Drosophila melanogaster: one gene and its partner. The protein of the gene in region 2 purifies or fractionates together with the protein of the main gene of each other region. This does not show direct contact. Each region holds a gene or a part of one and is shown on either strand. Other genes may lie near its edges. The genes, in order: pgc and CycT.

The links.
Region 1: the proteins of CycT (region 2) and pgc purify together in Drosophila melanogaster (affinity purification with western blotting; one study listed by BioGRID). This does not show direct contact.

The regions. Positions count from the first base shown.
Region 1 is NT_033778.4:22,324,055-22,339,235, reverse strand, and holds pgc (polar granule component), read right to left. Parts: upstream 9,037-15,181; 5' UTR 8,975-9,036; coding exon of another isoform or gene 8,232-8,974; intron 8,175-8,231; coding exon of another isoform or gene 8,033-8,174; intron 7,979-8,032; coding exon of another isoform or gene 7,604-7,978; intron 7,389-7,603; coding exon of another isoform or gene 7,304-7,388; intron 7,242-7,303; coding exon of another isoform or gene 7,192-7,241; exon of another isoform or gene 7,164-7,191; intron 7,066-7,163; exon of another isoform or gene 7,065-7,065; 5' UTR 7,040-7,064; coding exon 6,824-7,039; 3' UTR 6,423-6,823; downstream 1-6,422. Other genes in the region: Liprin-gamma, read left to right, coding at 29-190, 291-435, 3,444-3,555, 4,272-4,295, 4,356-4,808; CG34208 (uncharacterized protein), read right to left, coding at 5,932-6,084; T3dh (type III alcohol dehydrogenase), read left to right, coding at 7,192-7,241, 7,304-7,388, 7,604-7,978, 8,033-8,174, 8,232-8,974; CG34207 (uncharacterized protein), read left to right, coding at 9,516-9,821; Gp150, read right to left, coding at 10,712-11,043, 11,106-12,840, 12,899-13,453, 13,509-14,061.
Region 2 is NT_037436.4:17,546,730-17,564,868, reverse strand, and holds CycT (cyclin T), read left to right. Parts: upstream 1-7,080; 5' UTR 7,081-7,796; coding exon 7,797-8,373; intron 8,374-8,449; coding exon 8,450-8,495; exon of another isoform or gene 8,496-8,726; intron 8,727-9,037; exon of another isoform or gene 9,038-9,338; coding exon 9,339-9,934; intron 9,935-9,990; coding exon 9,991-12,065; 3' UTR 12,066-13,865; downstream 13,866-18,139. Other genes in the region: Eip74EF (Ecdysone-induced protein 74EF), read left to right, coding at 9-263, 2,111-3,099; CG7542 (uncharacterized protein), read right to left, coding at 14,220-15,032; Jon74E (jonah 74E), read left to right, coding at 15,757-15,995, 16,057-16,319, 16,407-16,720. UniProt on the Drosophila melanogaster protein: Regulatory subunit of the cyclin-dependent kinase pair (CDK9/cyclin T) complex, also called positive transcription elongation factor B (P-TEFb), which is proposed to facilitate the transition from abortive to production elongation by phosphorylating the CTD (carboxy-terminal domain) of the large subunit of RNA polymerase II (RNAP II).

The DNA of each region.
Region 1 (15,181 bases), on a different chromosome or scaffold from region 2:
TGCCAATCCCTTTGGCTCCTTTTCGCAGGCATTCACGTGTTGCGCATCGTCAAGTACGACCGACAAACTCTGGCCATGCGGCGGGTGCAATCCGAGACGGTGGACACGGACCCCATTGTGTGGACGAACCAGCGCTTCATTCGCTGGGTGCGATCCATCGACCTGGGCGAATACGCGGACAATCTGAAGGGTGCGTATGGCATATCGATTGCCCTTTGATTATGCCATTCAGCGCAGCAATTAGAAGGGCTCCCCTGACCCACTCTAATCCCGTTTCCACCCACCTGCAGATAGCGGCGTTCATGGCGGCCTTGTGGTGCTGGAACCATCCTTCTCTGGTGACACCATGGCCACCGCCTTGGGCATTCCCCCCTCGAAGAACATAATACGGCGACATCTCAACACGGAATTCGATGCCCTCATTTTGCCCGCACGGTAAGTTTTTTGAGGGTTTACCAGCCCCACGGAGCCCATCTAGAATCTCAGTGTGTGTGTGTGTGTGTGTGCGTGTGTGTTTGTGTGCGCCCTGTGTGTGAGTGTCCTTTGTGTAGCCCCTCGGGTTTGACATGTGAATTGTGGAAACGTAAATATGTAGCGTAACACAGCGTTTTGATTAGAGTTGTCTTTGTTTTGATTGAGTTATTGCCGTTTTGTATTACCATTACCACCCCGAGATTATATAACATTCTGTTAACGGTCTTCGTTGTGCGTTTGAGTTTGAGTTTGTGTTCATTTCTGCACCTTCGTTAAGACCATATCGTTTACAAGAGTTTTGTTTTTGGTTCAAGTTTGCTAGCAGGAAGTATTTCGTATTTCGCAAATGGGAGCTCTTCAGATCTCATTTCATCATCTGCATCATCATCGACACCCGAAACATACACCCGAAACATTATTCAGTCATATTCACATCATCTCTGGCTATTTAATATATTTAGTGCTTTGATCATTCGTTTATAAGCTGCTTCTTATGTGCATACCATCCATCTATCTTCTTCCACATCACCAATGAAATAATGACTGCAGAAATGCCAACTTCTCGACTCATTAGATGTCATATCATGCGATGTCATATCTGTATCTAACTCTGTCTACTCGTGCATAAGTATGTAAAGGTCCTCGAGCCTGTATATTTAGATAGTAATTCTGTACTTTGTTTCGTTGTTGATCATGTGAACGTGTCTTAGACGATCTGTTAAGCAAAATAAAACCGCCCAAAAGCGAATCGCACTAATGGCGGCCCTCGTGGCCATGTTTCTCTCTCTTTTCTTTCCCACAAAATATCTCGAACCATGTTTATTTGTATCTTCTATATTCGAAATGCAGATACCTTATTTACTGTCAAATGGAAGAATTTCAAATGGAAGCCTCCAGACAATTGGCCAAATTGCAGGGCCACTAAACAATCCGCACGAACCAAAGAACTCGATAATGAAAATGAATAATAATCAAAAGTCAAACGGGATTCATACTGATTTGTTGTTTAGCCAAGCTGATAAAGATGATACGATAATAACTATAGGGAGAGAACAATAACTGGAGCACAGCGCTAGTCATTTCGTCATTACGAATAGTTGATAGATCCACCCAAGGATAGTCACACATCCGAGTAGTAGCCGTACATGTAATCATACCACAATATTATAAAGTGCTTTAGGCATCGAACTAGGAACGCACACGTCAAAAACAAAACCAGTGTCCAAGCTTTGCATATCCGATATCGAAATTATAACGATACTCTCCGCGAGGAGCGCTTAACGTTGCATTTACTTAGGTTGATTTACAAGTCGAATCGCGAGCATTTAATGTAGTAGAAATCTAGGGTTAAGGCTTTACGGCAATGTAATCGGGGAGGGAATTGAAATATGTATGTATTTCAGATATAATCAATTGTTACGCCTAAGATAGAGCATTGCAAATGCCCCAAACACACACCCTTCCACATGAGCGTCTTTCGTCACTAGGCCGAAACACACAAGTTCCCTGTGATACTGAAGCTGTTTTCTGAGCTCAGTTAGACAGCCACTGAACGCACAATGGAACCCTAAAGACCAATTACATAACCACACACTCGCACACAGGTCCATGAACACATACACATCTACATTTCCGTGGTTAGATGATATAGTTCATGTTTGGTGTTGCATACTGTGAAGCGTTTTGATTGAGTTTCGCCCTGCGGTATCGAGTCTGCCATGGCCAAGGTTCCAAAGAGTAAGCTCCTAAAAATGTAATTTTGTTGACATGGCTTGCTTATTGCATATGGCTGTATCAAATATTTGCTTGCATATTTCTGGGCAACAAAAATGCGAAGTAATGAATTCTGGAGCTGAAGATTTGACCGCAGGGCTATAGCTCCTCTAAGTTAATTTCTTTAAGAAGTCGTTTGTTTGGTTTTGCAATTTTGCAACTACAGTGTCAATTGTAAGTAAAACTTGCTTACTAAGTAGCCTATCTCTCTCTATTTCTCAAACACACACACACATACTCGAAAACATACGCAGACAACCGAAAACCAGTTCTATGTATGTGTTATCAATGTTTTTAAGTAGCTTGAACTAGTCTAATCGTTGTCAACTTAATAAGTACCACTGCATTCAAATACCTTAACGATACTACATATGTGTGATTGGAATTGTAAGGCTTAAACAAAAACGACAATTTTTATGGCTGCTGGTTTCGTGACTGTTAGCAATGCTATTCTTTTTTCAAGTTACCTTTACTTTCTAGTTTCTATTCTTTCGGGGGTTTTTAACTCACTATAGATCTTTGATTTCATTGTTGTTTTACGCTACGTGTAGTTAATTGTGCCATGGCGAATACAAATCAAAATAAAAGTATCTCTCTAACATTGATTAATCAAATTCTTTCGTCTTTGTCCCGTTTCTTTTTTCATATTTCCTATACTCGATCCACTCTCTTTTGCTTTCACCTCCGTATGTTTCCCTTCAATTTTGTAATTTGGTAATCGAATTGACGGCTTGTTGTTGTTGCTAACTCTGCTTGATTGTCTAACACGATTACCAACACAACAACAACCATACCGACAACAACTCAACAACACAATCAACAACAACTCAACAACATGCCAATGAAACCACTTTCTGTGTGTGTATGTGTGCCTGCCTTGCCTGCTTTCTCTCTCTCTCTCTGGCTCTGTATTGCTATCTCTGCCGCTCTGCCTGACCACCCGCACTCCATGTATTCGAATTTGAAATCTCGAAAACTCCACACTCCCGTTATCTGCCGTCTGTGTCCTGTCTTCAATGTGCTGCCTGCCTGCCTGCCCATGAAAATCAAAAATACATGCACATCCAAACCCATTCACAACATGATATATGCCCCCGTGAACCCACAACACCCACTCACCACCCACCCACACACACACACACGCATATGACCTATGCAAAAATTCGCAAATCGAAATTGCCATGTTTGTTGTGTAGAGCGACTCTGGGTCAGGGCATCCGTTCCGGTTGCGGCGTAGTGCCTCTAACGGGACCCGGCGGACTGCAGCACTATGCCACAACAGATCGCCGCTCGAGCGGCAACCTCAGGGTAAGTACTTAATACTAATAACATAGCTAGTTATAGCCAATTATGTCTTGAATACAATAATCGTCTGTGCCAGTCGACAAACAACTATTGCTGTATATCCCTAGCCTGAATTGACGTGAAGCTTTTGTTGTCGCTCGGTGTTTGTGTCATAAATTATTTAAATCCCTGAGAGGTGGCTTCAGCAAGTGTTCTCATATCACTGGGAGCATGTTTTCACAGGCTTTCATCCAAATTGAAAATTCAATTTATGATAGGTTGCCTTTGCAGGCTGTATTGACTATAATTTACACTCCAAGGTGCCAACAAGTATGTGATAAATTCTGAGTTGAGATAAAGGACATTCAAGGATGTTACAATATTTAAGCGAAAATTCATTGGCTATCCAAAATACATCGTTGTTAGCTTTTGGTCAGCTTAAAACGAATAAGTTCGTAAGGATATGTTAAATATTGAAACTCAAATATCTACTCATCACAATTAAATAATGAATATGCCTTTAACATAGCAAATATGACATGTATTAGATAACCTTAGCATGGATATAATTACTGATTTGGAAAATATTTATAGTTCCTAAGGCACCTAAGAACAGGAAAAGTTTCATGACAGTTCCGAAGTGTTCCCGTTGTCGGCAAAAGTTTAGGATTTGAAACAAGTGTTCTTGTGCAAATTAAAACTATTAACATTTATTTCTTTTCATTTATTTTACTAAACAGATTTCGGCATGGAAAGGATCTCAGGTGAGTTGGCATTTCATTCACTCAAGGAGCACATTTCAATATTTGTATTTCCGTTTGCAGAGCTCCCTGTCTAAAGCCTTTCGGTTTAACAGCAAACCACATCGCACCGGGGACCGCAGCTCCTTTGGGAACTCCACCTCCCCAACGCCTTCGTACAGCAGCAGCGAGGGTGGCGGAGGAATATACGCAACCATAGGGCACCAGTATCCGAATCCGCACACCAATCTCCAGCAGCAGCACTACCATCACTTCCTGCCGCCGCCTACGACGGCCCCACCGCCGATTCCCTCGGCTGGGGGCATCTATAGTCATGGTCCGCCGCCTGGTCATCGTGTGAGCGCTCCGCCAGTTGGTGGGGCACTGGATGCGGTGTCCACCGACCCACAAATGCTCTACGAGCAGAGTCGACGGCGCGTGAAGAGCATCAGCGATATTGGGGCTTCGACGAGTGCGGGCAGCGTGGGGGCCTGCAGTCTGGGCGGCATATCGGCCTCATCGGAGTCCCCTGAATAAGAGTGAAAAGCTAGCTAGATAGGATTACAACTACCACTACCAAAGATACTCAGCTGTACTCCCGCATGAAAATCCCTTTCACCCCCCCATAACCCATTTACCCTTTCAGCTGCATTTGAGCTTAGAATCTACAAGCAAACTCAATTATATTCAAGTCAGTGTCAGACCCACCTACAAGATACAAGCATTCAGCAGCTACAGATACATATGCGTCAAGTAATACAAGATAAGCGAGTAATCATTTGATCAAATCAGATAGAAATTCGAACTATATGCTAAACATAAATAACGACATAATTATATTGTGTAGACTAAGCCCCAATCGCAGGCAAGAGAAGTAAGGATCGAATCAACTCGAATCAATTCAAATCGAATCAAAAACTCCACCCCAACTCCAACAAACTGCATTAGTCTAATCAATCACATATATGTAATTCTAATTGTAATTGTAACTGTAAAGATAGCTCTAAACCGATTTAAAAGTGAGAGGCAGATTGCGTGACGGTAATATACTCACTGAATTACAAGCCGATTTGGGCACTGGAGATGCGATTGCAATTTAGATAAATTGAAATTATTTTGTAACCGAAACTATCGTAGCTAAGCAAATGGAAACGGAAACTATTGAATTAAATTTGATAAGCCGCAAGATGCGGCACTTTGTAAATTATGATAAGCCCTAAGCAACGTTCAATATCGCATGGTAATGGTAAAATCCGAAACAGAATCAAATATATGGTAAATACAAACGCACTCCCCAAAAAAAACCCTCGCACAACCAAAGAAAGTCAGTCAGCCTGCTTTATCCGCCAATCAATCAGTATCGAAGAATCCCCGAGAGCGTCAGGGTATCATTAAGCTGACCAATTTAACTGTAGACCTATGTCGAAGAAAACTATCGAATAAACCCATGATCAAAACTCTGTTGTAAACGAATGAGTCTTTATTGTGCACGGGAAGATGCCACTCGCTAGATGAGCAGCACCTCAACATATTGCATTTTCTCGACTCCAAAACATTTCACCTTCACCGTGAGTCGCTGTGCCTCCTGTGTCCTTTGTGGTTCGGTGCATCTTCGGGGAGATTTCGTGGGTTTTTCCATCTCCTCCAGCCGCTCGGATTGCTAGCGTCGATCGTTGTCGTTATCGTTTCGAGGACGTCGCGTTGTGTGCGGACGACCCTTGGGCTCCGGATTGGGTTCCGCTAGGGCTAAAGTGCCCAGACTGCCGATGAGTCCGAGGATGCCGAATACCAGGAACAAACTAAGCCACTTCATCTCGCGATCGCGATGTCGAGTTATTACCAGTTCAACACAAACTGCTGAACGATACGCCTGGAATCAAACGTTTTATGGCCTGGCGCCCAGAAGATCGGCGACGATCTGCATGCTAATGAGGGAAACTGCCGTCAACATCGTTTACCATTGCCAGTAGTTTATGTTCGCAGATCGGCCAGATAGCGCGGCAAATTGAGTTGTAAATCCAGCGCGAAAAATGGGCGGACATACATTTAGGTAATTAGCTCCATTGTAATGGGAACAATTGTTCCCATTACAATTGAATCGCAGTCACATCTTACTGTGGGACCCGTAATTAAAAACGAATGGGTTTTTGAACGATTGCGAATCGAAAATATATTTCTATCTATTTTTTGGGTAAGTATTTGAGAAATTTCGAGCTTCCCTACTTGTTCTTGAATACATTAGGTGCAATACCGAAGGCAAATTATTGCCATTTTTAGATCTAGGACAACCATATGCGATTGATTGGTACAAATTGATTACTTGGTAGAGTGACAAAACAATGCGAGTTTTCACGAAAGCAAACATTTGAATACACGGACAAATTGACTTCAAGAAACTATGCATACGATCGCCTCTGAAGGCTGGTAGTTACAATATAAAATAACCGAGCACTTATCAAAAGTGCATTCACGATGTTCCACTCATGTGGCAAACGAACTGCTAAAACTATAATTTACAAATATCACAATAAGTTGGCTTTTGGGAGGTCCAGTCAGAATCTCCATCTATCCGCGATGACCGGCGGACTCAGGCTCAAGTTTTGCTGGAAAACCTGGCAGAGCTCATTCATCTCCCGCTCCCTTTGCAACTCCTCGCGCACTTGATGCCACATGGACTCGAATCCATTGTCGTAGGATGCCATCGAGGCATCGCCCTCGCAGGAGCTGTCTTCAAAAATAAAGGAGTACTCCATCTGGTAGTCGCACATTTTCGGGTCTTCTTGTAGTTCAAAGCTGCAAGACAGAGAATTTCAAATTGTTAGCTATCGATTATGAAGTGCTGTCTTTTGGCGCCAGCTATCGATTCGGCGGGTTCTTATCAAACGAAAGACCAGTCCAGCTGATTTCATTTATATACAGAATGTCGCGGAAGAATGTCTTAGGTTTGATCAACACGATCGTGGCCAACTCGTAAGTAAAAATTGCGTTTTATAACTGATTTCAAGTGATTTAAATAAAGTATGGTCTTATAGCTGCAAGTGCCCCGCCCATTCGCATAACTATGGCTCAGCAGCTCCAACCGCCTCCCAAACGGGTCGCATGGAATACGCCTTCGAGGTAAGTGGCAAAACCTTGGACTTTGGAGCACCTCCAGATAGTAGATTCTCATCTTTAGACAGGTGGTCATACCCTGGACCAGATAATACTATCTCTATATTCTTAAGCATCCCAATAGAATTTATATTTTAGATCTTGTGAATACTTTTAACTTAAATTTTGTTCGGTATATAACAAATTCTAATTCAAATTTGGTCAAATGTATTGATAAACAGATGTCAGCCTCGACTGTTCGATTTGGACCGGGAGTAAGTGCCGAAGTGGGAGCCGATCTTCGCAACTTGGGAGCTCGGAAGGTTTGTTTGGTCACGGATAAAAATGTCGTGCAATTGCCCTCCGTGAAAGTGGCCTTGGATTCACTGGCTCGTAATGGCATCAACTACGAAGTCTATGATGAAACCCGGGTGGAGCCCACGGATGGGAGCATGTGGCATGCCGTGGAGTTTGCGCGCGGCAAGGAGTTCGATGCATTTCTGGCCATCGGAGGAGGATCTGCCATGGATACAGCCAAGGCAGCTAATCTTTTTAGCAGTGATGCAAATGCAGAGTTTTTGGATTATGTAAACTGCCCAATTGGCAGAGGCAAGGAGGTGAGGTCTCCTTTTTAGACTTAGTACCTTTAATACCACTTGAATTCCATTTAGATATCCGTAAAACTGAAGCCCCTGATTGCGATGCCCACCACTTCGGGAACAGGTTCCGAAACCACTGGAGTAGCTATATTTGATTACAAGAAGTTGCATGCCAAAACTGGGATTTCCAGCAAGTTCCTCAAACCTACTTTGGGTAAAAAACTGAACTTCTTTAAATAATTTATTCTAATATCGTTCTATCTAACTCTAGCTGTGATTGATCCTCTGCACACCCTATCCCAGCCGCAACGCGTGATGGCTTTCGCTGGCTTTGATGTGTTCTGCCATGCCCTGGAGAGTTTCACGGCGGTGGATTACAGGGAACGCGGTTTGGCGCCCAGTGATCCCAGCTTGAGACCCACCTACCAGGGCAGGAACCCAGTGTCGGATGTGTGGGCACGATTCGCATTGGAGACGATAAGGAAAAACTTTGTGAACGCCATTTACCAGCCCGATAACCTAGAAGCCCGATCCCAGATGCACCTGGCTTCCACAATGGCTGGCGTGGGATTTGGTAATGCCGGAGTGCACCTGTGTCATGGCCTTTCCTATCCTATTTCTGGAAATGTGAGGGATTACAAGCCAAAGGGCTACTCCGCGGATCACGCTCTTATTCCACACGGCCTATCCGTGGTGATCAGTGCTCCGGCGGTCTTTGAGTTCACTGCTCCAGCTTGTCCGGATCGGCATTTGGAGGCTGCCCAGTTGCTGGGCGCAGAAGTGCGAGGTGTCGAAAAAGCAGACGCCGGTCGTCTTTTGGCGGACACTGTACGCGGTTTTATGCAACGCGCGGGCATAGAAAATGGCCTCCGAGAGCTGGGATTCTCCAGCAGCGATATACCCGCCTTGGTGGAGGGAACCCTGCCCCAGGAAAGGATCACTAAGCTAGCACCCAGGGCGCAGACGCAGGAAAACCTGTCGCAACTCTTTGAGAAGTCCATGGAGGTCTATTAATTTGGAGCCAAAACTTACCCACGCTCAACTTGTTCTCTTGAAGAAAAAAAAATGTTAAACTAACGGATCTTCGTTTAAGATCTGACCATACTTGAGCTTTCAAAATTCTATTTTTTTTAAGCGTATAAAAAGCTTAGAGTGAACCATTTAATTTTGGTTGGACTTGTGTATATACGAAAAATACCATTAAAAACCCTATACAGAATCACAGGAAATTTGATGCCCTGCTTGATTTTTGTTTACTTTATGTTCTTTGTCGCAATGGATCTTATGTACATTCAGCATTATTTTGTGGCCTCTTTTTTGGTCTGCACTTCGTTTGAGAATCCTCTACTCAGTTTGCTTTCCTAAGCTGCAGGAAGAAGACCGACGCTGGGACCAAAAATACTATGATATAAGATATTAATATTAATATAATATCATACAAATCATACATGATATCATATCATTAAAACAAAAAAAAAAGGATTAAATCCTACAAATTAGTTGCTCCAAAAAAAGCTTGTAATTTTTGTAATTATAATATATTTTAGACTGAAACATGTTTGAGTACTCCTTCATGTTCGAATCCTCCGGATGTGAGGGTAAATTTCTAGGGATGCCCTACGACGGGGAATTCGAGGCAATGTGGCAGCAGATCGGCAATGAACTCCGTTCCAGACATAATCGCTTCCTGGGAATGCCGTTCGATAGTGGATTTGAACGGATGTGGCGGCAGGTCAGAGAGGAACTGAAACGGGATCGGGAAGATAACGAATTGGCACTCTGTTTCCAGCGGAATTTGAGCACCTACGTAAAGGAGGAAGGGGATGTCGGTCAACTTGAGTCTTTTATTGAACGCAGATAAAATATATTCAATTTTATTGAAAGGCATGTTATTGTTTAAAGTACGTATGCAAGTGTGTATGTCTATTAAGTATGCATTGTAAAGATTACGATCGGTTTGGTTAAAATAATTTATTGTTTTCGGAATCGGTTTCAATGTCGAATAGGTCAAGCTGTTACTTGCCTTCGATTGGAAAAAAGATAATAAAAAAGTCTTAACATAGTTTATGCATTAATTATTTCTCTCATCTCTTGATCATATTAAAAATCAGACGTCATTCTAGGGAGTCTCCTAACCGTTTGCTACACAGACCCGCATCTAAAACTCTTACTACTTTCTGTTCCTCGCTCCTCGTTTCTTGTTCCTGACTTGACACTCAGTTTAGAAACCTTAATGTGTTTAAGTAATTTTCGCTCGGTTTGAATTTTGGCAAAATGGCACTAAATCTTCAAGTTGTTCCCGGATATGGACTAATTGGATACGGATTGTGGGCAGAGGTTTGATAAATTGCAAATCCGTTGCTTTCGAAACGGTTGCTCATCAAACGCGTTCTCTGAAAGCCCACCTCTGCTGTTGCCAAGGACCTTTGACTGGTCTTAACAGTATTTGATGGTACAGGATATTTCAAGGATAAAGGATTTTGTCAAAGATTTATTCTCTCTCTTTCAATCTCTTATTTGGATTCAAGTATTTTTTAGTTGTTGCTTTGTTTCCTCGCACTTTCGCTAATACTTTTAACTGCCACCTACTGCTCCTCCTCCTGTTTCTTACATTCTTGTGCTTGTGTTTAGTCAATTGTCTGATGTGATTTTCCACTTTTTCAACTATCAATATACTTATAAATTAGAAAAACAGCGCAACTCGTTCGATTTCCGCGGCCACCGGCCCGGAACTGCTGATTCTAGGTGGACTTAGACCTGATTGATGGGCGCGTATCGGTGCACCTTTGGCTGCTTCAGATGCTTGGGCTCCTTCTGCTCCTTGCTGGTCGGCTTCACGATGTCCTCGCTCAACTTCTGGTATACGAACGAGTTCTTTGAGGCCAGCAGCGCCATGCGATAGCGCTCGCCGCGCTTGCGCAGCACCACGTAGATCACTCGGGCGATGGACAGCACGATCATCAGGAGGCAGAAGGACACGACGATCAGTGGGACCACCAGGTCGTAGGATAGTTCGCCGTGGAAGATCATCTTCTCGGTGTACTCATCTGACTCCTCGCTTTCGCTGTCGAAGCCCAGTTTCTCTGAGAAGGTAAAACATACGATTGGAATACATTCCATCAACGAATGATTGGCTAAAACTTACCCAGAAGGAATTTATCACGGGTCTCCTGAGACATGTCCACTTCCTCCGCCTGGATACCATCGGTCTTCAGGACTGGCTTCAGTTCCTTGTTCACGAACGTGTCGAAGGCCTTGTTAGCATCGGCCTTAGCCTTGGCATTCTTCTTGGCCTCCTCGAAGCGATCATCATCGTTGTTGTCATCATCATCGTCCTCATCATCGTCATCATCATCCTCCTCACTGTCATAGTCACTGCTGTCATCCTCCTTATCCTCGCCGCCATTGTTCAGATTCTCCTCGTCAGCATCTTCCTCAGGCTTCGCGGTTTCAGTGTTCACCGATCCCTTCATGATCTTCTGCATGCTGCTCAGCCTGCTCTTGTCTAGCACACTCTTGTCCAGGACACTCAGCAACTTAGCCTCATCCTCGTTAAGCTTCTTCACGCTTTCCTTCAGACGCTTCTCCAGTTTGGCTTCGGCACTGTCGGCCTTCTTTTCGTCCAAGAGATCTGATCCTTCGGCATGCTTGCACACCTCGTGGGCCAAAGACGACCAACCAGCCTGAGCCAGAGTCTCCAGCTGCACAATAGTAGCATCGTCCTCCAGATTGGCCAGCACGGGCAGACGCTTGGGAGTCATCTGCATCTGAAGAGTGACGTAGCTGATGAACTCCTGGAAGTCGGGAGTGCACTTCAGCGGATTGTTGGTGATATCCAGAGAACGCAGGTTCTTGAAGCTCTTCACATCCTCCGAAGAGATCTTCTTGATCAAATTACCAGAGGCGTTAAAGGAGCGCAGGCTGTCAAAGATCTTGTAACCCGCACCCAAGTCGCGATCGGAGAGCAAGGTGGTAAGCTCGCAGTCATTGACGTCCAGGCATCGCAGTTGGTGCAGCGGCAGGAAGAGGCGGACGGACAAGCGGCTAATGGGATTTCCAGCCAGACTGAGCTTAGTCAGCTCTCCGTTGTCCATGAAGATCAGATCGTCCATGCGGGTGATCAGGTTGTTGCTCAGATCCAAGTCAATCAGCTTGTGCAGTCCAGTGAAAATCTCGCGCGGCAGATGATTAATGTTGTTCCAGGCCAACTTCAAGGTGGTCAAATGCGGCATAGTGGAGAAGGCCTTGTGACCCAATGGACCGATGGCGCAATTGGAAATATCCAGGTAGTAGACGGTGAACTCCCCACTGTAGCTCAAGAAGCCATCGGTGGGCAACTGGCTCAGACGAGGATTGTCGTTCAAACGGATCACATCCAGCTCAGAGTTCTTAAAGAACAGCATTCCCGAGATCTGGTCCAGATCGTTGATGGACAAATCGATGTGGCGCAGGTTCTTCAAAGTAAGGAACGAGTCCGGTTGGATCTTCTTAATGCCATTGCCCTTGAGGTTCAGGTTGGTCAGACCGGGCATCTTGTCGAACATGCTGTGGTGCACTTGGACAATCGAGTTAAAGCTCAAGTCCAGCTGCTGCAGATCCTTGGTGCCAAAGTGCAGATCGCCATTGAAGGTATTGTACTTCAGGTGCAGTATGGACAGGGTGGTGCCATTGAAGATATCGCGGGGCAATTCAGTCAGCGAGTTGTAAGACAGATCCAATTCTTCCAGAAGAGTAACCTTCTCGAAAGCCTTCTCGGGCAGTTTCTTGAGACTGTTCTGGCTCAAGTTAATGTAGACGACATTGGATAGATGGGAGAAGGCCTTGGGATTCAACTCCATAAGGTTGTTGCGCGAGAAGTCCAGCTCCTCAATGCTGGAAGACTGCAAAATTATAATTTATTAGCTGGATTTCAAGGTAAAGGTTTTTGAAATCACTCACCTTCAGCAAATAGTGAATGCTGGACATCACACTCAAGTCGTTACCCGAAATGGTCAGCATGCGCAGTTTCTTGTTTCCAACAAAGGTATCGGGATTAATGATAGCCAAACCAACATCCGTCAAGTTAACAGCGTACAGCTCGTTCAGTCCGTGGAAGGCCTCGGCGTGCAGGTACTCCAAGGTGCAGTTGGCGATCTTGATGGAAGCCACGTTCTTAAGACCCAGATTCTGGAAGAAGTTGGGTCCCATCAGGATGGGGTACTTAGGACCCACATTGGTCACAACCAAATCCGTAATGTCAGAGCCAAACTTCTGGATGCCCATGTCAAGTCTGCTGCAGGTGGCCACCAGATAGCTGTTGACATTCCGGGCACACTGGCAGAATCTTGGACACGGAACGTCCTCGCTGAAGACAACTTGCTCATCATCGGTCAAAAGGTCGTCAGCGGCATCGTCCTCGTCATCATCATCATCCAGACCCTCGTCGTAGTCATATTGAGAGTCGCTGTCGATATCGTTAGCACTCTCTTTGGTCTTTTGGTCGTTGGATTTGCTCTGTAAAGTACGAAAACATATTTATTTGAATTTAAGGATGATGGGGGAAGTATACCTTGGACTTCGTGATGGTGGCATCCACAATGGGCTGCAGCTTGGGGTTGCTCTTGGCCTTCTTGGGACTGGGGGAAATCGTCACCGTCTCCTCATCGAAATAGTTGTAATCATCATCGTAGTCATAGTATTCGCTATCGTCGGTATCGGTGGAGTTCTTCTCCCCGGCGGCGACGGTAGTATTGAGCATCTTGTTGAAGTGTGGATCATCAGCCAAAGCTTGGCTGTGCTTGGCCGCCTCCATCAGATCATTCCAAGCCTCCTCGCTAAGGGACTTCTCGGTGCCGGAGGACGTGGTTTTTTTTGTGGGGCTCCTGGTGGTCGTCTCCACGGGTAAATCCTTTACCTTGGGGGTGGAGATTTTGGGCAGACTCTCGGTCGGGCTCACCTCCTCTCCAGAGTTCAGCTCGTTTTCCGTCAGATCGTCATGAATGAAGTGGATCTTGGGGCCCACGGTATTTGAGTGGCTGGCGTGGATTAGGGCCAGGGTAAAGGCCAGCAGCAGGACTAGCCTGCAAGTCGACTGGCGACTCATTTTCCTGTAGATGGGCAAACTGAAATGGACCAGGAAATTCAACGTTATACAGTACAGTAATGGCCGCTTCTGAGAAAATGACAAAAACAGACGACTCACACCCAACGGGCCCTATCTTATCGCTAATTGCTGGAGCCAGATAAGTAGATATGCGTTTATTGAATCAACCACATTCTGGAGAGGTGGCCGAGCTCATGGCTGGTCTCAGAATGCGCACATTGTCCACCTATTTCCTTAAAAATCACCGATCTGCATGACGAAATGGTGAGCCAAGTTGACTGCCCCAATTAGCACATTGGCACCCGGAGAGTTGACATCATTTCGCATGCTAATTTAGTAGGTACACTACATTCGAATCGACGAATTTCCAAATGTTTGCTTATCGTTTAATGGCAATTGTTTTGCACCCCATATGATTCGCTGCGTATTTTCAACACGTTACTCAGAATCCAGTGAAAGCACAATTCGCACTACCGTATCCGCAAAGTACTTCCCTTATTGATTAGTACTGTATACATCATCTAACAGTAATGCATATGCCGAAAATAGTTTCTGGAGAATTGCTGACTCTCAATCTCGCGATTCGAGTTGGTCTGTCATCAACTGGAGCTTGTTTATTTGAGTTTCAGTTTGCTTGCCCTTTGATTGCACGCGACTGGTTTGGTTACCCTAACTAAACGATTGGGTAATCACATTGTGCTTTTTGGAATCGATTCGATATGAGGGAATCCCCACTGAGCGTTTCTTGACGCCGATTATGAACTCGTTTGCCAGCTCGCTGATTCTAAGAAATTCTCAAAACCAGACTGAAAACTCGACGCTCTCCAGGTCTCTTATGCAATTTACGTAGTTTTGGAATGCATTTTCCACCCATTCGATGCGGATTCCATGGCGGATGGCCCTATTGAAAGACCGCCTGTGTTTGCCTTCGTTTTCATGGCAAAGCAAACACATAATTCGAGACCGTGGCTCGCCGAGTGGTAAACAAAGAGCTTTGGGTATTATTGCTTTTCGTAACCAGGCAAACGACCCGGGATCGCGAGAGATCCGACTCCGCCAGCAAAGTGTAAAATGCAAAATGCGCAGTTAAGGCGGCCAGAATAGATCGCATTTATCCAGCCAATACACAGTATGGCGGC
Region 2 (18,139 bases):
GTTCGCAGGTTCATTTCCGCCCAGTCCCGCGGACAGCGGCGTCTCCGACGTGGACAGCTCCAGTTCCGGCGGCCAGCCCTGCGCCGACGAGCTGAAGGCGCGTCTCGGGATGCCACCAGCCACCTCGGCGTCGGCAGCGGCCGCGGCAGCAGCGGCGGCGGCGGCAGCGGCACACCTGCACACGGGCACCTTTCTGCATCCGAATTTATACCAGAACAATGCGGCAAATTCGCTGCGGAACATATGGAATCGCAGTGTTGGGGGTGAGTATCGAGTATGCCTGAGAAAAACGCAACCAATTCCAACTGTGTGCTTAAGTTTAGAACTGAGTTTAAGGGCTAGACTTATAATACATTTTTTATACACATCAAATTGGGAGTGTGTGAAACAAGACAAGATGGTAAAGGGACTTAATGACGTCAACTTATAGTAAGAATTTGAATTGCAATTTTATTTAAATTTGCCTTTTTAAGACTGAAGTTTTGCACACTGCTGCCTACTTACCTTAGTGCAGTCAATGTTTACGATTTAGACAGGTACTAAGGATTTTACACATAATTGGCAATGAGCTAAGATTAAAGTAAATCGCACAATTATTTCGGGGATTCGATCTAAGCTGAGAACGGTTTTATCTCAACCAATTAATCATATGACCTAATGGGGAACTTTGCATATTGCAATCAATTTGAAGTTGGTATAATCTGTTGCATACATAATGCACTCCTAATCCAGCGTACTCTTTCCTACAAAATGTCAGGCAAGCAAGGCGCACGCACACATACCCATGTACGTACAGCACAATCAATTGCAATGCGAATGTGTTGCACTCGCTGCTTTTATGCTCTCTGCCAACTGAGTGCGTGAGTGTGTGTGTGTGTGAGTCCGTGTTGCTGTATAAAATCTGTGGTCATCGACACATTGCCTTTGCGCAAATTGTGAAGGTCACAACGACAACGACAACGACAGCAACAGCAGCAGCAGCAGCGCCAATGTGGCAATAATGCTGCTCGCGAGAGTGCTCCACTCTCTTTTCCTCCTTCTCCCGGAGAGGCGGAAAAGAGAGAGAGAGAGAGAGAGTGAAAGAGTGCCAAACACCAACGCAAATGCAACAGCAACACGAACGTGACACATGAGCAACACACGAACAACACAGCGTGCGTTGCTCTCTGTGCGATGTGTCTGTGAGAGAGTTGGTGAGAGAGTGGCGCTGCTTACTTTTGTTTTTATTCAGATTCAGCCCAGTCTTTCCCCACTCTCATCCTGTCCCATGCCCCTGTGCCCCCCAGCCACACCCCCCGTCTAAAATGGTCCACCGAATCCAAAGACGACTGCGAATCCAAATCCACTGACTGCCAACTGGCTGAGCCGCGAAATTGGGCAACGCCAACGCCGGATGTAAAAAAAAGAAAAAAAAAAAACTTACTAAATAGCATACAAAATTATACCTGTGCCACCACACAGAAACAGAAACAGTGTGAAATAGTCGCAAGCGATCTGCGATCTGGGTACAATGGGACAGAACGGGTTGCCACCAAGCAGATTCATTTGGGTATATTATTTCAATTTAAGTTTAAGTTTAGTGCACGTTCTTGGATGTTGCATATTTGGGTACTTACCTTATGATATTAAGCTGTAACCTAAAAATTTAAATTTTAGCTCTGACCCTTTTTTATACTAATGAGTAAATAACTTTTAACGGAGTCTAAAAGTATGCTACAATATATGAACATATGTGCATTGAAAATCACAAAAGTAGCATGTCTGTAAGCAACACGAATTTAAAAAATTTATTTGCAATGCACACAGCTAGAATGATGGTTACGAAAATAGTTTCAGGAAAACTTTTAATTTGATGCACGGTGATTAGTTGATTTTAACTATGAACTGGTATGGAGAGAAAGGACAGGGCACGTGGTGATAACGTGGGCTATGATGACATTATAATGTGTTATTGCACGTAAAATTTAATATATAACTAAAGTGGTCAACTTCAAAGTTTTTAGCGGAAATTGGTGGTTTAAGTTGGGGAAGCTCACCAGTATATTCGTTGGTTCAGCAAGCCGCTTTTGTTCTCAAGTACTCATTTATATATTTGACTTTGTTCTTGCAGTGCCCGACAACTACTACGGAAGCAGTGGCGCCGGCAGTGGGGGCACCCAGCCAGGTGGTCCGGGAAACCCCCAAACGCCTGGCTACCTGACAACGTCCTACTTCAACGCACCGACAGCGGCAACGGCAGCGGCGTCCCAGCGAGGAACCACAATCAATGGCTATCATTCCCTGCACCAGCAGCAGCAGCAGCAACAGCAGTCGCAGCAATCGCAGCAGCAACAGCAACTGGCCCACCAGCAACTGTCGCACCAGCAGCAGCAGGCGTTGCATCAGCAACTGTCGCACCAACAGCAGCAGCAGCAACAGCAACAGCAGCAACACCCGCACTCCCAACTGAACGGTCCGCATCCGCACTCACATCCGCACTCTCATCCGCATTCGCATCCGCACGCGGGCCAGCACACGCATTCCACAATCGCTGCAGCGGCGGCAGCGGCAGCAGCATCTGTCGTCAGCAGCAGCAGCAGCGCCGTTGCAGCGGCAGCCATGCTGAGCGCCAGTGCAGCGGCAGCAGCAACGGCGGCAGCTGCGGCGGGCGGATCCCAGAGTGTTATCCAACCGGCGACGTCCAGCGTCAGCTACGATCTCTCCTACATGCTGGAGCTGGGCGGATTCCAGCAGCGGAAGGCGAAGAAGCCGCGCAAACCGAAGCTGGAGATGGGCGTAAAGCGGCGCAGCCGGGAGGGATCCACCACCTATCTGTGGGAGTTCCTCCTCAAACTGCTCCAGGATCGCGAATACTGTCCGCGTTTCATCAAGTGGACGAACCGGGAGAAGGGCGTCTTCAAGCTGGTCGACTCGAAGGCTGTGTCCCGCCTGTGGGGCATGCACAAGAACAAGCCGGACATGAACTACGAGACGATGGGCAGGGCGCTGAGGTACTACTACCAGCGCGGCATACTGGCCAAGGTGGATGGCCAGCGGCTGGTCTACCAGTTCGTGGATGTGCCCAAGGACATCATCGAGATTGACTGCAACGGTGTGTGAAGTGATGAGGACGAGGAGGACGACGAGGCCTGTAAATATAGTTCGATCCCAGATCGCAGACGGATCGAGCTGGAATGGCAATAGGTTTTGGGTGGGGTATAAATCAACCGGCTAGCGGCAATAGTGGCTGAAGGCCACGCGAGATAGGGATTTCTTTGTACATGCGTTGAGTTTCTTGGTTAGCCAGCGATAAGCGTAGGTTACACACATAGCTGATAGTCCCAATACGCGTACATATACTTATATATATATATACATATATATATAAATATATATTCACACCCTGTGTCCTGTACCCTATACATACACCCAGCTAAATCGACGGTAAATAATGATCTATTCATGGGCGTTAGTGTTGTACTTGTAACTGTAGATTTAACTGTAAACTGTAACTGTAATGAATATTGTTATTATTGGTTATTATTATTATTATTATTACTATTACTATTATTAATATTATAATTATTATTGCTACTGCTATGGCGGAAGGAAGAGGACGAAGGACGACCGAATTGATTCATATTGATATTCGATAGATGTGTGTAATATGTAAATGAGTACGAACCCCTATAGCTGCAAGAATTTCTCTATCTCTATTGATCTAATGCTAAATCTAAATGTATATGAGTATGTATATGCCTAGCCTAATGACCTTTCAACTGTCCCCTAGCCCAACCCGCTGCCCGAGGACAAGCTCAGTGCAGATGCAGATATGGGTCTATGTATGAACATATGTATACGGAGATCTGAACGATCTGCACGGGTGTCTGTGCTTGGGCTAATTGTTTTTGTTGCTTATTTTATAAACGAAGAGAGATGGAAATTTATTATTTCATAGTTTTAGCTATTTGTACGACTACGTTTAGGATATTTATTTAAGTGTTTCTCCAGCTAATCCCCCGAAACTTTCCCCAAAACAACAAAAACACACACATCCTAACTGGAGCTAAGAACCCAGCAAACTGGTGGTCTAAACTTTCTTGTAATTATTATTTGATAAGTTTTGTATATTTACAACATCAACAGCAGAAAAGCTCACAGGATAAACCCGAAGAAGGCACTTCTTGAGCCCTCGTTTAAGCAGTCTTAGAACACCAAACCAAACTCAAGTCTCTCGATCTGAAGTTTATTTATAAAGCATAAAGTTAAACTACCGTATTCTTGTTAACGTCACACTGCCACAAATCGAAACAAGCCTTACATAATGGAACAGATCTGGACATTTAATCGAACCAAACCGAGATACTGACCCATAGTTTCAACAATACTGCAACCGCAATCCTCAATGCAATATACCGACAACTTCTACAACAATTTCCAAACACTGCCCAAAACGTGCAATCTCTTGAAAGGATACCTTGAATAGGAAAGAGAATAAAACCAACTCCTAGTTCTTTAATCTAATTCTTTAATAGTTGCGTTCTCTAAGTACCTTTATCTATTATTATTATTATTATGTGTACGTGAAGATGAAATCTACAATATATCATTTTGTTTATGATGATTGGTGATTGATGATGCAAATAAACAAAGTGAGTCTTGAGTTCAACTCTGTTCATTGTAAACAATTTTTTATGATTATTTTTTATTTTTTAAATAAAATTATTATTTCAATTTGTGCATGCGTTTTATTTACACATTCGCAAACCAAACACACCAAAAAAAAAACAAACCAATATAAAAACCGAATGAAATATAGAACGTAAGCAAAGATATGATACAAATATATGGAACCCGCTACAAATTTGGAATCTAGATATACCTCCCATGAAAAGTACATAATGTTGCATAAGTTACAATATATTCAAAGTCTATATAGGATAGTCGAGATTCGGATTGACGATATTTGAAGTCGAGATCACATATTTTAGATAAAGTCCAGTCGGTGTATTTTGTAGTTCTAAGACACCATTTCACGAGGTCTCAGTTTATGAGGTTTCCCCCAGATCATGGATTTATATGTATGTCTATTTATTGGCGTAGATCACCGCATCTACCATTATTACCTAGCGTAAATCAGTTATTAGTTGTTAGGGAATGAATATTTAAATGTTATAAGACCTTAGATATAAGCACACCCACAACAAGAGCAGCATCGAACCAGATATGCAAAAATCACGAGTCGAGTACAACGAAATCGGTAAACAAGAATCTGAGCCACAACCCGGATAATGCAGCTTTAAATCGAGATAGTACATTTAAATTTCAATCTCCTATTTCCCAGAGAGCTCTCCTTTCACTTCGATAGCCTAAATCAGTTGGAGACTCCAACCCGAAAGCATTTATACATGCTAAGCACGATAATTGTACATATACAACTTCTGGACCTCATGACTCCACTCGATTATAAACGTATTTTATATGTATACACCAATTATTTGTTAGATTGGATAACCCCGAATGGCTGGATAAGACCAACTAAATTATATGCAATAGAATATCGATGCCGTTGGGCAAGATTTCTATGCTAGGCTAAGGCTAAGACAAGATATCTTTCTATTGGTAACTCAAAAACGAAACGAACTATATAGCTTTTAAATGGAAACGTGCGATTATTCAAAGGTATTCTATGCCGCCTGAGAATAGTAGAGATATGGATTGGCCTAGATTTAGACGAATATGTTGAATGCATTAACATTAGATACGATTAGTTTTTGACTTACTAACCTAAGTTAAGTTTTTAGACTGTTTATTTCACTTTTTGTTCAATCTTTGTACATTTGACAGACACATTTTAAAAATGTCTGCGATGAGAAATCAGCTAAAGCCAGCCACAATATATATAATATATATATATATACTTTAATGCTTATGTAGTAAGGAAACGAACGTTGGATCGAAGTCATGGTATGTAGGTGAATTTTATGGTTAGAGGCAAGCGCAAGCGAACGGATTAGATTAATTTTTATAAGAATGCATTAAGAAAAACGAAGCAAGTAACAGTCACAAGCTAGCATAATTATTTACTGTTATGACGACATAAGAGTTTTAAGGTTTTTAGCTAAATTTTGTATATTTTAATCTACAAACTATAAATATATATTATCTGTTTTATAAATAACAATAAAAAATTCATATGTGTTTTTATGACAGATTTCAAATGGGTAGAGCATCGCTCTCAAAATGTATAGCCATTTTGAGCTGTACAGGAATTCGGAATGTCTTTTTTACTACTAGTATTATTTCTTATGATTCGGTCGGTTATGGCTTATACGCATAGACCAATAACTCTACATATCCCCACCCACAGAAAGAAGTCACAAAATCTGGGAGGCCAATTACAGGTCCAAAACGTTAGATTAGTCGGTCACCATTAAATCGATTGTGGCACGAGCTGTGTGACATATTGCGTCCTCTTTTTGGAACCACAGGTCCTGGACATCATGGTTGTTCGATTCAGGAATGAAAATGTTGGTAACAATAGCCCTATACCGATCGTCATTTACTGTAACGTACTGGCCATCGTCGGCTTTGAAGAAGTACGGACCAATGATTCCACCAGCCCATAAAGTTTTTCTGGATGTAACGGTGTTTGAGGATTGGCTTCAACCGAAGTGCTGGTTGTCCGACTAGGTATATAAACATATACATAACAACATTTGGATATTTTGATAAAAAAAAGTCATGCGATTAAATGAAGGTGCTCAAAGTACATATATAATATGTCCATATACATATAATAAGATATATTTAAGATGGGACTGTTCAAACATATTAAGTACAAATTCGATTCCCCCGGAATATACGTTATTTTTTAATTGAATAAGAAGGGAAAAAATGTTGACATTGTGATATTTCTACATGTGTTAGCGAAATGTAAAGTTTAAGGTAAGTTACTTAAAAATGTATTTACATTTATTTGAATATCTACCTTACGATTATTAATCGATAACATAAACAGTAGAATCAATGTTGCCATATTTTAAAAATAATATCGATAATGCGAAATAAACATCGGTTTGGAAAGCCTTATCGATCTGGCAGCCCTGCCGACGGCCATACTTGAAAATACATTTTTTTCTGCAAAGTTTGTCATTGTCACTGTGTGAATGGAATCTGTGATGTGTTGTGGAATTAAAAACGTCGAGTAAACGACCCGTAATGGTTAAAGTGCCCGGCGAAAGCAGTGCGAATAACTATGAATTGATACGAAAGTTGCATAACACGTCGCCTGGTGTCGCGGTTAGTGTGTTTTTCGTCTCGTTTCGTTTCCGCCGCAGTCGCAGTTTCCAGAAAACCTCACCACACCATACCATCTCCACCACGCACACACACACACAAACAAACACGCAGAGACGCGGCGGCGGAAAAAGTGTGCGGACCGCGGATTTAACCCCTCGTTCCAAACCCAAATTGGAGTCTCCCAAAAACAGCGAAATATCGAGTGTGGCTTAGCCGATGTGCCGTGCGATCCCCACTGCCCCTTCCGTACCGCTGCCACCCCCGCCACAGCAGCAACGCACACGGATACGGACACAGACACCAATACCAGCGCACTCAAGCACGGCCGACAAAGAAAGAGCGCTCTCCCTTCCTCTTCGTACAGTTAGTTCCTACAGCTGAATCAGCCAAAAGGGAATTACTAGGTCCATTCCGAGGCGCAGTTTGCATGTGAAACGGAGGTCCCCGCATAACCACGCGGAACCCGAAATCCCAGATCCCCATCTCCGCTGCACGGATAAAGGAAACATACAACCATGAGTCTCCTAGCCACGCCAATGCCCCAGGCGGCCACCGCCTCATCTTCTTCATCCGCCTCCGCGGCCGCCTCGGCCAGCGGGATTCCAATCACCGCCAACAACAACCTGCCTTTCGAGAAGGACAAGATCTGGTACTTCAGCAACGATCAGCTGGCCAATTCGCCAAGCAGAAGATGCGGCATCAAGGGCGACGATGAGCTGCAGTACCGCCAGATGACCGCCTATCTGATACAGGAAATGGGTCAGCGTCTGCAGGTGTCCCAACTGTGCATCAACACGGCCATTGTGTACATGCATCGGTTCTACGCCTTTCACTCCTTCACCCACTTTCATCGCAACTCCATGGCGTCGGCGAGCCTCTTCTTGGCCGCCAAGGTAGAAGAGCAACCGCGGAAGCTGGAGCATGTTATTCGGGCCGCCAACAAGTGCCTGCCGCCGACCACCGAGCAGAATTACGCCGAACTCGCCCAGGAGCTTGTGTTCAACGAGAACGTGCTCCTGCAGACGCTGGGCTTCGATGTGGCCATCGATCATCCGCACACGCATGTGGTGCGCACCTGCCAGCTGGTCAAAGGTATGCACCCACCATCCGACCCAAGCCATGTCCCCTTCACATGTCAGATGGTACTGATTACTGTGGTATATTTTAGCATGCAAGGATCTGGCGCAGACATCGTACTTCTTGGCCTCGAACAGGTATGGCTAGCAATGCGCTACTCTATGGTGTAATCCCTCCTAGAGATCGCCCCCAACGCAAATACGGCTGTGGTATAAGCAATGTGTGTGTGTGTGCGGGTGTGGTGTTGGCCCAATCCTCCCCAGAAAGTGGTCAGGCTGTAGAGAGTTCGATCCCTGACTTTTTGTGGCTAAAATCTTTGGGCAGTTCTTTTACCTGCTTAATTCCTCGCTTATAGCTAACAAACCCAGGTATGTGAGTCGAAACAAAAAAAAAAAGTGACGACCCCAAGTCACAAATCGAACAAGAACACGCGGTCCCTAATCGCAGCAGGACGTCTGTACAAATATCGCATCTTAGCAAAAAGGCAGTATTTTCCGTGTCCCTCGCGGTAATTATCCTCAGTTGCCTGCAATAACATTGTAATTTGTGTCGGAAAATCCGCCAAATGTCAAGAATAAGACTAATTCCTAGAAAGAGTCGTTAATTCCTAGAAAAAGATATTTGAAGAATTGTAATGATAACCATTGTAATCCTTTGGCATACTAAAACATCTGGAAAAAAGATAAATTCAGTTTGGCATACCTGCCTACCTAAAACATAGTCAAAATTCTGATTACATGAGGAGAGCTCATTGGGAAAATTTGCGCATTTCGAAATATCGGCAAACGTTTTAGAATAATTCTTTTAAGTTTAAGATCCCCAAGAAATAAAAGAGACTCGCTAAGAACATGCTAAGAACTAAAGACGTAATCTGTATTATAAGTGATGAAATCCCCCTGCACACACTCACCGAACTACATTTATATGTGATATTCTTGCAAAAGATTTCCCACTAAATTGACTTAACCATCCTGGCACAGCCTGCATCTGACCTCGATGTGCCTCCAATATCGCCCCACGGTCGTAGCCTGTTTCTGCATTTACCTAGCCTGCAAGTGGTCCCGATGGGAGATCCCCCAGTCGACCGAGGGCAAACACTGGTTCTACTATGTGGACAAGACGGTCTCGCTGGATTTGCTAAAGCAGCTGACAGATGAGTTCATCGCTATCTATGAGAAGAGCCCGGCCCGTCTGAAGTCTAAGCTTAACTCGATCAAGGCGATCGCCCAGGGAGCCAGCAATCGGACAGCTAACAGCAAGGACAAACCAAAGGAGGACTGGAAGATCACCGAGATGATGAAGGGCTACCACTCAAACATCACGACACCACCAGAGCTGTTAAACGGCAACGACAGCCGGGATCGGGACCGAGATCGTGAACGGGAGAGAGAGCGGGAACGGGATCCGTCGTCACTACTGCCGCCACCGGCTATGGTGCCGCAGCAAAGACGACAGGATGGTGGCCATCAGCGCTCGTCCTCAGTGAGCGGAGTGCCAGGCAGCAGCTCTTCGTCGTCTTCCTCCAGTCACAAGATGCCAAATTACCCTGGTGGCATGCCGCCCGACGCTCATACGGGTAAGTATTTCAACAACTGCAAAAAGAATCACATTTTTAACATCTTCGTATTGAAGATCACAAGTCAAAGCAGCCGGGCTATAACAATCGAATGCCCTCAAGTCACCAGCGTAGTAGTAGCAGTGGACTCGGTTCCTCGGGAAGTGGCAGCCAGCGCAGCAGCTCATCCTCGTCGTCTTCAAGCCAGCAGCCTGGCCGACCGTCTATGCCCGTGGACTATCACAAATCCTCTCGCGGCATGCCGCCGGTAGGCGTGGGCATGCCACCTCACGGCAGCCACAAGATGACTTCGGGCTCCAAGCCCCAGCAGCCGCAGCAGCAGCCGGTCCCACATCCATCCGCCTCTAATTCCTCTGCATCGGGCATGTCCTCCAAGGATAAATCCCAGAGCAACAAAATGTATCCGAACGCACCGCCGCCATACAGTAATAGTGCCCCTCAAAACCCGCTGATGTCGCGTGGTGGATATCCAGGCGCTAGCAATGGATCCCAGCCCCCGCCTCCCGCCGGATACGGCGGCCATCGCAGCAAATCCGGCTCCACCGTCCATGGCATGCCGCCTTTCGAGCAGCAATTGCCCTATTCCCAGAGCCAGAGCTACGGCCACATGCAGCAGCAGCCAGTGCCTCAGTCTCAGCAGCAACAGATGCCTCCGGAGGCATCCCAGCACTCGTTGCAGTCCAAGAACTCGCTCTTCAGTCCAGAGTGGCCAGACATTAAAAAGGAGCCCATGTCGCAGTCGCAACCACAGCCTTTTAACGGTTTGCTACCCCCTCCTGCGCCTCCCGGCCACGATTACAAGCTAAATAGCCATCCGCGCGACAAAGAAAGTCCCAAGAAAGAGCGACTAACGCCAACCAAAAAGGATAAGCACCGTCCTGTCATGCCCCCAGTGGGCAGTGGGAACAGTTCCTCCGGCTCGGGATCATCAAAGCCGATGCTACCGCCTCACAAGAAGCAGATACCCCATGGCGGGGACCTGTTGACCAATCCTGGAGAGAGTGGAAGCCTAAAACGGCCCAACGAGATCTCGGGAAGTCAGTATGGACTAAATAAGCTGGATGAAATAGATAACAGTAATATGCCTCGAGAAAAGCTTCGCAAGCTGGACACTACAACTGGACTACCAACTTATCCGAATTATGAGGAGAAACACACGCCTCTGAATATGTCCAACGGAATCGAGACAACGCCGGATCTGGTGCGCAGTTTGCTAAAGGAGAGTCTGTGTCCATCGAACGCTTCGCTCCTGAAACCGGATGCCTTGACTATGCCTGGCCTGAAACCACCGGCCGAACTGCTTGAGCCCATGCCCGCACCAGCGACAATCAAGAAAGAACAGGGAATAACTCCGATGACCAGTTTGGCTAGTGGGCCCGCACCCATGGATTTGGAAGTACCCACTAAACAGGCCGGAGAGATTAAGGAGGAAAGCAGCAGCAAGTCCGAAAAGAAAAAGAAGAAGGATAAACACAAACACAAGGAGAAGGACAAGTCCAAGGACAAGACGGAAAAGGAGGAGCGTAAGAAGCACAAGAAGGACAAGCAGAAGGATCGTAGCGGCAGCGGTGGCAGCAAGGACAGTTCTCTTCCCAATGAGCCTCTGAAGATGGTTATCAAGAATCCCAACGGCAGCCTGCAGGCCGGTGCGTCAGCTCCCATTAAACTTAAGATCAGCAAAAATAAGGTTGAACCCAATAACTACTCTGCAGCGGCGGGTCTGCCTGGCGCAATCGGATATGGCTTGCCTCCAACTACGGCTACCACCACATCCGCTTCGATCGGAGCAGCTGCTCCTGTTCTGCCTCCTTATGGTGCCGGCGGTGGTGGCTACAGCTCATCGGGCGGCAGCAGTTCCGGTGGCAGCAGCAAGAAAAAGCACAGCGATCGTGACCGCGACAAGGAGAGCAAAAAGAATAAGAGCCAAGACTACGCGAAGTACAATGGCGCTGGTGGCGGCATCTTTAATCCCCTTGGCGGTGCTGGCGCCGCACCCAATATGTCTGGAGGAATGGGCGCCCCCATGTCTACTGCTGTACCACCATCCATGCTGTTGGCGCCCACCGGTGCAGTACCACCCTCTGCCGCTGGGCTGGCACCGCCTCCCATGCCCGTCTACAACAAGAAGTAGTGGTAGCGGTCAGAGGGTTATTCTTAAGTCGTACGTTTTGATATATGTATAGAACCTCAGTAAGTCCGATTGTAGTATAGTTGTTAGGATTGTTAGTGAGATGCATTATTGATTTTAGTTAAGCACATAGATAAAACTCCAAATTGGAAGTGAAACCGGATGCGCAGATCGAAGAAGAGTGGAAGTAGATGTCGCGATGGGGCTGGACGTAAAAGCAGTACTCAAATCGCGAAAACTTTTGTACAGCATTAATTAATTTATAACTATAATAAATAGCATACATATAAGCCCACATACATAAAAATACGGAATAGTTTTAAGCGAATTGTTGGCAAACGGAATCAGAGACCCAAGCAGAAAATTCACAGAGAGCAGCAATGGCCGTCTAGCGTTTAAGTTAGCAAATCAAATACCCGTTTCACACACTCTAACCTGTATATAGCCACTCTCACAAACACACAATCAAGAGATATATAGTACAGACTTCCGCTTAGCAAATATACTAAATACGGCCCCAACTAAATGCAAGCCAGAGAGATAGAAAGAGTAAGAACTTCAAAATAATCCCCACAGAGGAGCATATAGTTGTGGCAGAGGATAGGAGAGTAAATGGAAAGCCAGCGCTTTGATTCAAAATTGAAGACGCCAAACCACATAATGAATTATTTAATTAATACATAGTTGCTAATCCGAAAATGAATGAAGATGTTTATTTTTAGTTAGCAAAGTTTTCCCTTCCTTTCTGAACGATTGCCCGATTACTAACCGTGTTTCAATATAGTTTTCGACACCTAGCAATATATACAGTAGTGTATTTACACTTTTCAATGAAGATAAGTAAAAAGATCGGATTGTTTCAGCGGATGATATTATGTTTCAAGATCGCCTGGAACGTTGACGTAGCTTTCATTTGTTTTAATTTATTTTTTAAATAGCATTACAAAACAAATTACCACAACAAAAAAAAAACCAAAACAAAAACAAATAATAAAGTCCCAAAACAAAAACGGAATATGCAAACAAAAAAGAAACCCAAAACTAAATTTTGGATAAAACAAAAGTTGTTGTGCAAGAAAACAAAAAGTTTTAAAATTATGTAAATGCAAGCGAAAACGTTGCAAGCAAACTAAGCTAAACGAACGAAAAACTAACAGAAGGCTAAACGAGGAGAAACAAAAGTTAGGCATATAGAAATCTAGGCATGATCTATATATTCGAGGCGAAAATGAGAATGAAATGAAATTTTATGTAATTTTCGACTAAGGCAAAGGTTAAGCGAACGTTGCGCGTTTTTCAAAACTATTCGTACTCGTATATTCGTATTCGATTTCTCTACTACTGCATTAAGCTGCAAGCATATATAGCTCTAAACACACCACACATCCATTCACACACCATCCATCCCATGCAGTCGAGAAACGTATTCTTTAAGTTGGGAACCCGAGAAACCCGTTTTTATAATCGATCGAAAGAATGCGCAATTTGCGTCTAAGATTTGGATTTCCCTTTATATACTTATTCTTGGCCCCTTTTACCACACTCCCCGCCCACGCCCATCCCCACCCCTCGCCCCTCCTAACTTAAGTTTTTGTACATACTTGGAAAGCAAATGGAAAACCCGCCGCTCGGGTGGCGGGCAAGTGTCGGGTTTCATTGGGATTGTTTGGTTGTGCGTTCGAATATGAATTCACTCGTCACTTGCACGCCCCCACGAGGGCACAAATAAAAATCTTCAAAACCCCGCAAAATTCTAAACAAAAAACTATAAAAATGCAAAAAATAAACAACAAAAAAATCAGGAAAATTAAATGATATGTGTTTTTCTTGCGGTGCTTGGGGGAACTTCTTGTTCAACTTTCTGAGCGAAACTTCAGATTCTTGAAAACGGTCCAAATATTAATTAATTTTGTACTTAAAATTTTAACTAAATTTATTCTAAATATCTCATTTGTTTCGTTAGCAAATAACTCTTAAATAATTTAAATAAATATCTTAACTAAAATAGGATTCTAATTTGGAAGAGAGAATTTGTAATTTAGATGCATTTTAATGGAGTCATAATGTACTTTACCGCTCTTTAGAGTGTTTTAATTATCCAGTTTATTTAAATCATTGCAAGTAGATCTTTCTTAGGAAGAACAGTTTAGTCTTAGCTTATTCTTTATTATGGGCGATGATATGGTTAAGGATCCAGTCCAAGTAGCTGCTGATGCGGGTGAACACGGCCGGGAATCCCACTTGACATCCCATAGAGGTTCCAAAAGAGGTGGATCCGATCAGGTAGCTGGAGTTGCCCTGCTTGTAGACCAGCGGACCGCCAGAGTCACCATGGCAGGTGGACTTGCCGCTGGTGGTGCTCATGCAGATCATCTTCTCCGACACAGCTCCACTCCAGTACATCCGGCACAGGGAGTGAGGCATAATGGGCATCTCCACGTATCTCAGCACGGGGGAAACCGAGTCGGAGGCATCGCTTTCCCGCCCCCAGCCGGAGGCGAAGGCCCGGATGGACTCGTACGTGGGAAACTGGCCATTCAAGCGACGGGGCAAACTGGCGGCCCGGATGCGATCAGTGAAACCCACAAAGGCGGGCAATCGAATAAGCGAGATGTCGTTGACCACCGTGCTGGCCATATAGTTCGAGTGCACTATAATACCCGACTTCTCCACCATGATCCTTTCTTGACCCTCCTCGGACTCATCACCGATGTTTATGGCCCCCAAATAGACCGTTACGGACTCCGCCCCATCCATGCAGTGTGCTGCTGTGATTATCCAGTAGTGTGAGATCAAGGTGCCGCCGCACCAAGTGCTCCAGTTCCCGAAGGAGACGTTCAGACCGGCCTGGTAGGGAAACTGACCCACCTCCGCCGGTTCTCCATTCGTAATATAGGGTTCCACATCGGTAAGGAGGGGAACAGCCGTACAGGATCCTACCAGCAGGACGCAAACCAAAAGTTTCATCATTTTCTAGGTTCAAAATAACTGAGGCAGCGAGACTGCTTCATGGTTATATAGGAACGGGTTAAGCCTGCAGCTTGTTATCTCATGATAAGGACCTCTTAAATTTCGAGCACCCTAGACCAATGGGATTATTATACCATGATCACACAACAAACAATTCACTTGACTTGGGATCCACCCAATGAATCACTGCAAATTGAAAACCTACGGCACGTGAGATGGCTAATCAGGTATTTTCAATTTAAGTAGTGCACTAAATTTAAAATCTAGTTGAACTTCGATTAGCAAATGAGGTCACGTAATTACTTACTTATTCCCAGTCCTTAGTTGATTTGATATCAGTACTTACAATATACGATTGATAGCTTCACTTATATCGCCTGTCAACGCGACATCCATTTTTAAGTTAGCAAAGAAATTGTAACATACTTTTAATTGCCGGCCACTTAAAACAAGCTTTCATTTCAAGTTAAGAGTAAGAACCTCTTCAAAAATACGCTCAGGTGTTTTGACTATTCTTTGAATAAATGCTGCTATCGGAAACCCGCGATTAATGAAAACATATGTACTTTAAATTGTTTCGGTAATCAAGTGGCGTTCAGATGAGTCCAAAGTGATAATGCATAATCAGGCATTACTTCTTATAGATTAACCAATTTAGGGGCCATAAATCCGCATTCATGTGGATGGACTGCGTCAGTGGTGCGAATAGTTGACTCTGAAAAGCATGCAAATCAGTACGATTTTAGTTTTCCTGCTTATCTTGGTTCAGGGAAGGTCGATCTCTTGCCTGGATATGGGTCATGGGATTGGAGGGCGAATCGCTGGCGGGGAGTTGGCCCGAGCCAATCAGTTTCCCTATCAAGTGGGTCTGAGCATCGAGGAGCCCAACGATATGTATTGCTGGTGTGGCGCTAGTTTGATCTCCGACCGATATCTGCTAACGGCTGCACACTGCGTTGAAAAGTGAGTATTTAGTGAAGCATTTAGTTAATATAGTACTAAACTGATAACTTTATCAATTCAGAGCGGTAGCTATCACCTACTACTTGGGGGGAGTGCTGCGACTTGCCCCTCGGCAGCTTATTCGATCGACTAATCCCGAAGTGCATCTGCACCCTGACTGGAATTGCCAAAGCTTGGAAAACGACATTGCCCTTGTACGATTGCCAGAGGATGCCCTGCTGTGTGATTCCATACGACCCATCCGGTTGCCAGGACTCTCATCGAGCCGGAACAGCTACGATTATGTTCCGGCTATCGCTTCCGGTTGGGGCCGCATGAATGACGGTAAGAACTGAATGATAAATCAAACCGAAAGTCGTACGAATTAACCATAATTTATACTAATTTCTTTTTATTTAACCCCACACACAGAATCCACTGCAATATCGGATAACCTGCGTTATGTTTACCGCTTTGTGGAATCCAATGAGGACTGTGAATACTCCTACGCTAACATAAAACCTACTAACATCTGCATGGACACAACGGGAGGGAAATCCACCTGTACCGGAGATTCTGGAGGACCTTTGGTCTACAGTGATCCTGTGCAGAACGCGGACATTCTGATCGGCGTCACTTCCTATGGCAAAAAGTCGGGCTGCACCAAGGGATATCCATCGGTTTTTACACGCATCACCGCCTATTTGGACTGGATAGGTGAGGTGAGCGGAGTTCACTATCCGTAGAAGTGGAGGGGGCCCTCGATGGCTAATCAAACAGTGCTGGGCACTGCAATTAAATTAAATGTTGAGCATTTTAGTTGCGACTATTGGTTTCCTTTCGAAGTGGTGGGCGTACCGAGAAGAGCACTTCAGAAAGTGGCGCAGTTCCACTCCATAGAGTGCAAAAGATAACGAAGCTGCTTCTTTTGCCTATGATAAGAAAGACTTGCATGTGGTGTAGCATATTTTTTGGTGTAACTTAAAAATCAAAGTAGATTGGTCAACAAAATAGGTCAAATAAGAAAGAAACAATATCTGAATTTAATCAAAAAGTTGTTTTCCACTCGGAAATTTACTATTGCATACGTATTGTATTTCCTTAGTTGAGTATAAAATCATTCGTCACGAAGTTAGAATCAGAACTATTGTATATTGAAATTCGAGCGTCACGAAATTTTTCCTGGCGAAGAGGATTAATTAGAGGATATTTAAAGTTCTTAGTTTCTTAATTTAGTTCATTATGGTAATATTTTCGAACGGAGCACGGGTTATTAGCATCGATGCGTATTTGCTAAAATGCTCTTTTTGATGTTAACCCATACCAGAACCAATATTAAAAATATTTGCTTTCGAGGCTTGGTTTGCTTCGTCACTACGTGGACTAGCATCCAGAATGATCTTAAGATACCACTACCGTAACTGCTCCCCATTTATTTTATATTTTATTAACACTAAAAGATCTCACGTAGGCTTATCTTCTGTTTTTGCCAATGGATTATAAAAGCCCCAAAAAGCCCCAAGGTCAAGCACCATGTTACCAAGGACGACATCATCCTGCACGCCGACTGGAACAGCCGTACCCTTAGGAACGACATCTCCTTGATCCGCATTCCTCACGTGGACTACAGCAGCGCCATTCATAACGTCGAGCTGCCCAAGCACGAGTACCACTACGCCTCCTATGATGGTGATGAGGTTATCGCCTCCGGATGGGGACGCACTTCCGACTCTTCCAGCGCCGTCGCCGCCCACCTCCAGTACGCCCACATGAAGGTCATTTCCAACAGCGAATGCAAGCGCACCTACTACTCCACCATCCGTGACTCGAACATCTGTGTCTCCACTCCTGCTGGCGTGTCTACCTGCAACGGTGACTCCGGTGGTCCTCTGGTCCTGGCCTCCGACAAGGTCCAGGTCGGTCTTACCTCTTTCGGATCCTCTGCTGGCTGCGAGAAGAACTACCCCGCCGTCTTCACCCGCGTCACCAGCTATCTGGACTGGATCAAGGAGCACACCGGCATCTAAATTTAAGTTTCTGATTTTTGCATTATTAAAATAGGTGTAACGGCGAACATATAAATCTTGTGTTGTTGGCTTATTTAAAGGTCTTATGCAATATTTGGTAAATTCTGATTAGCTGGTAGGGGTGTTTATAAATACAAC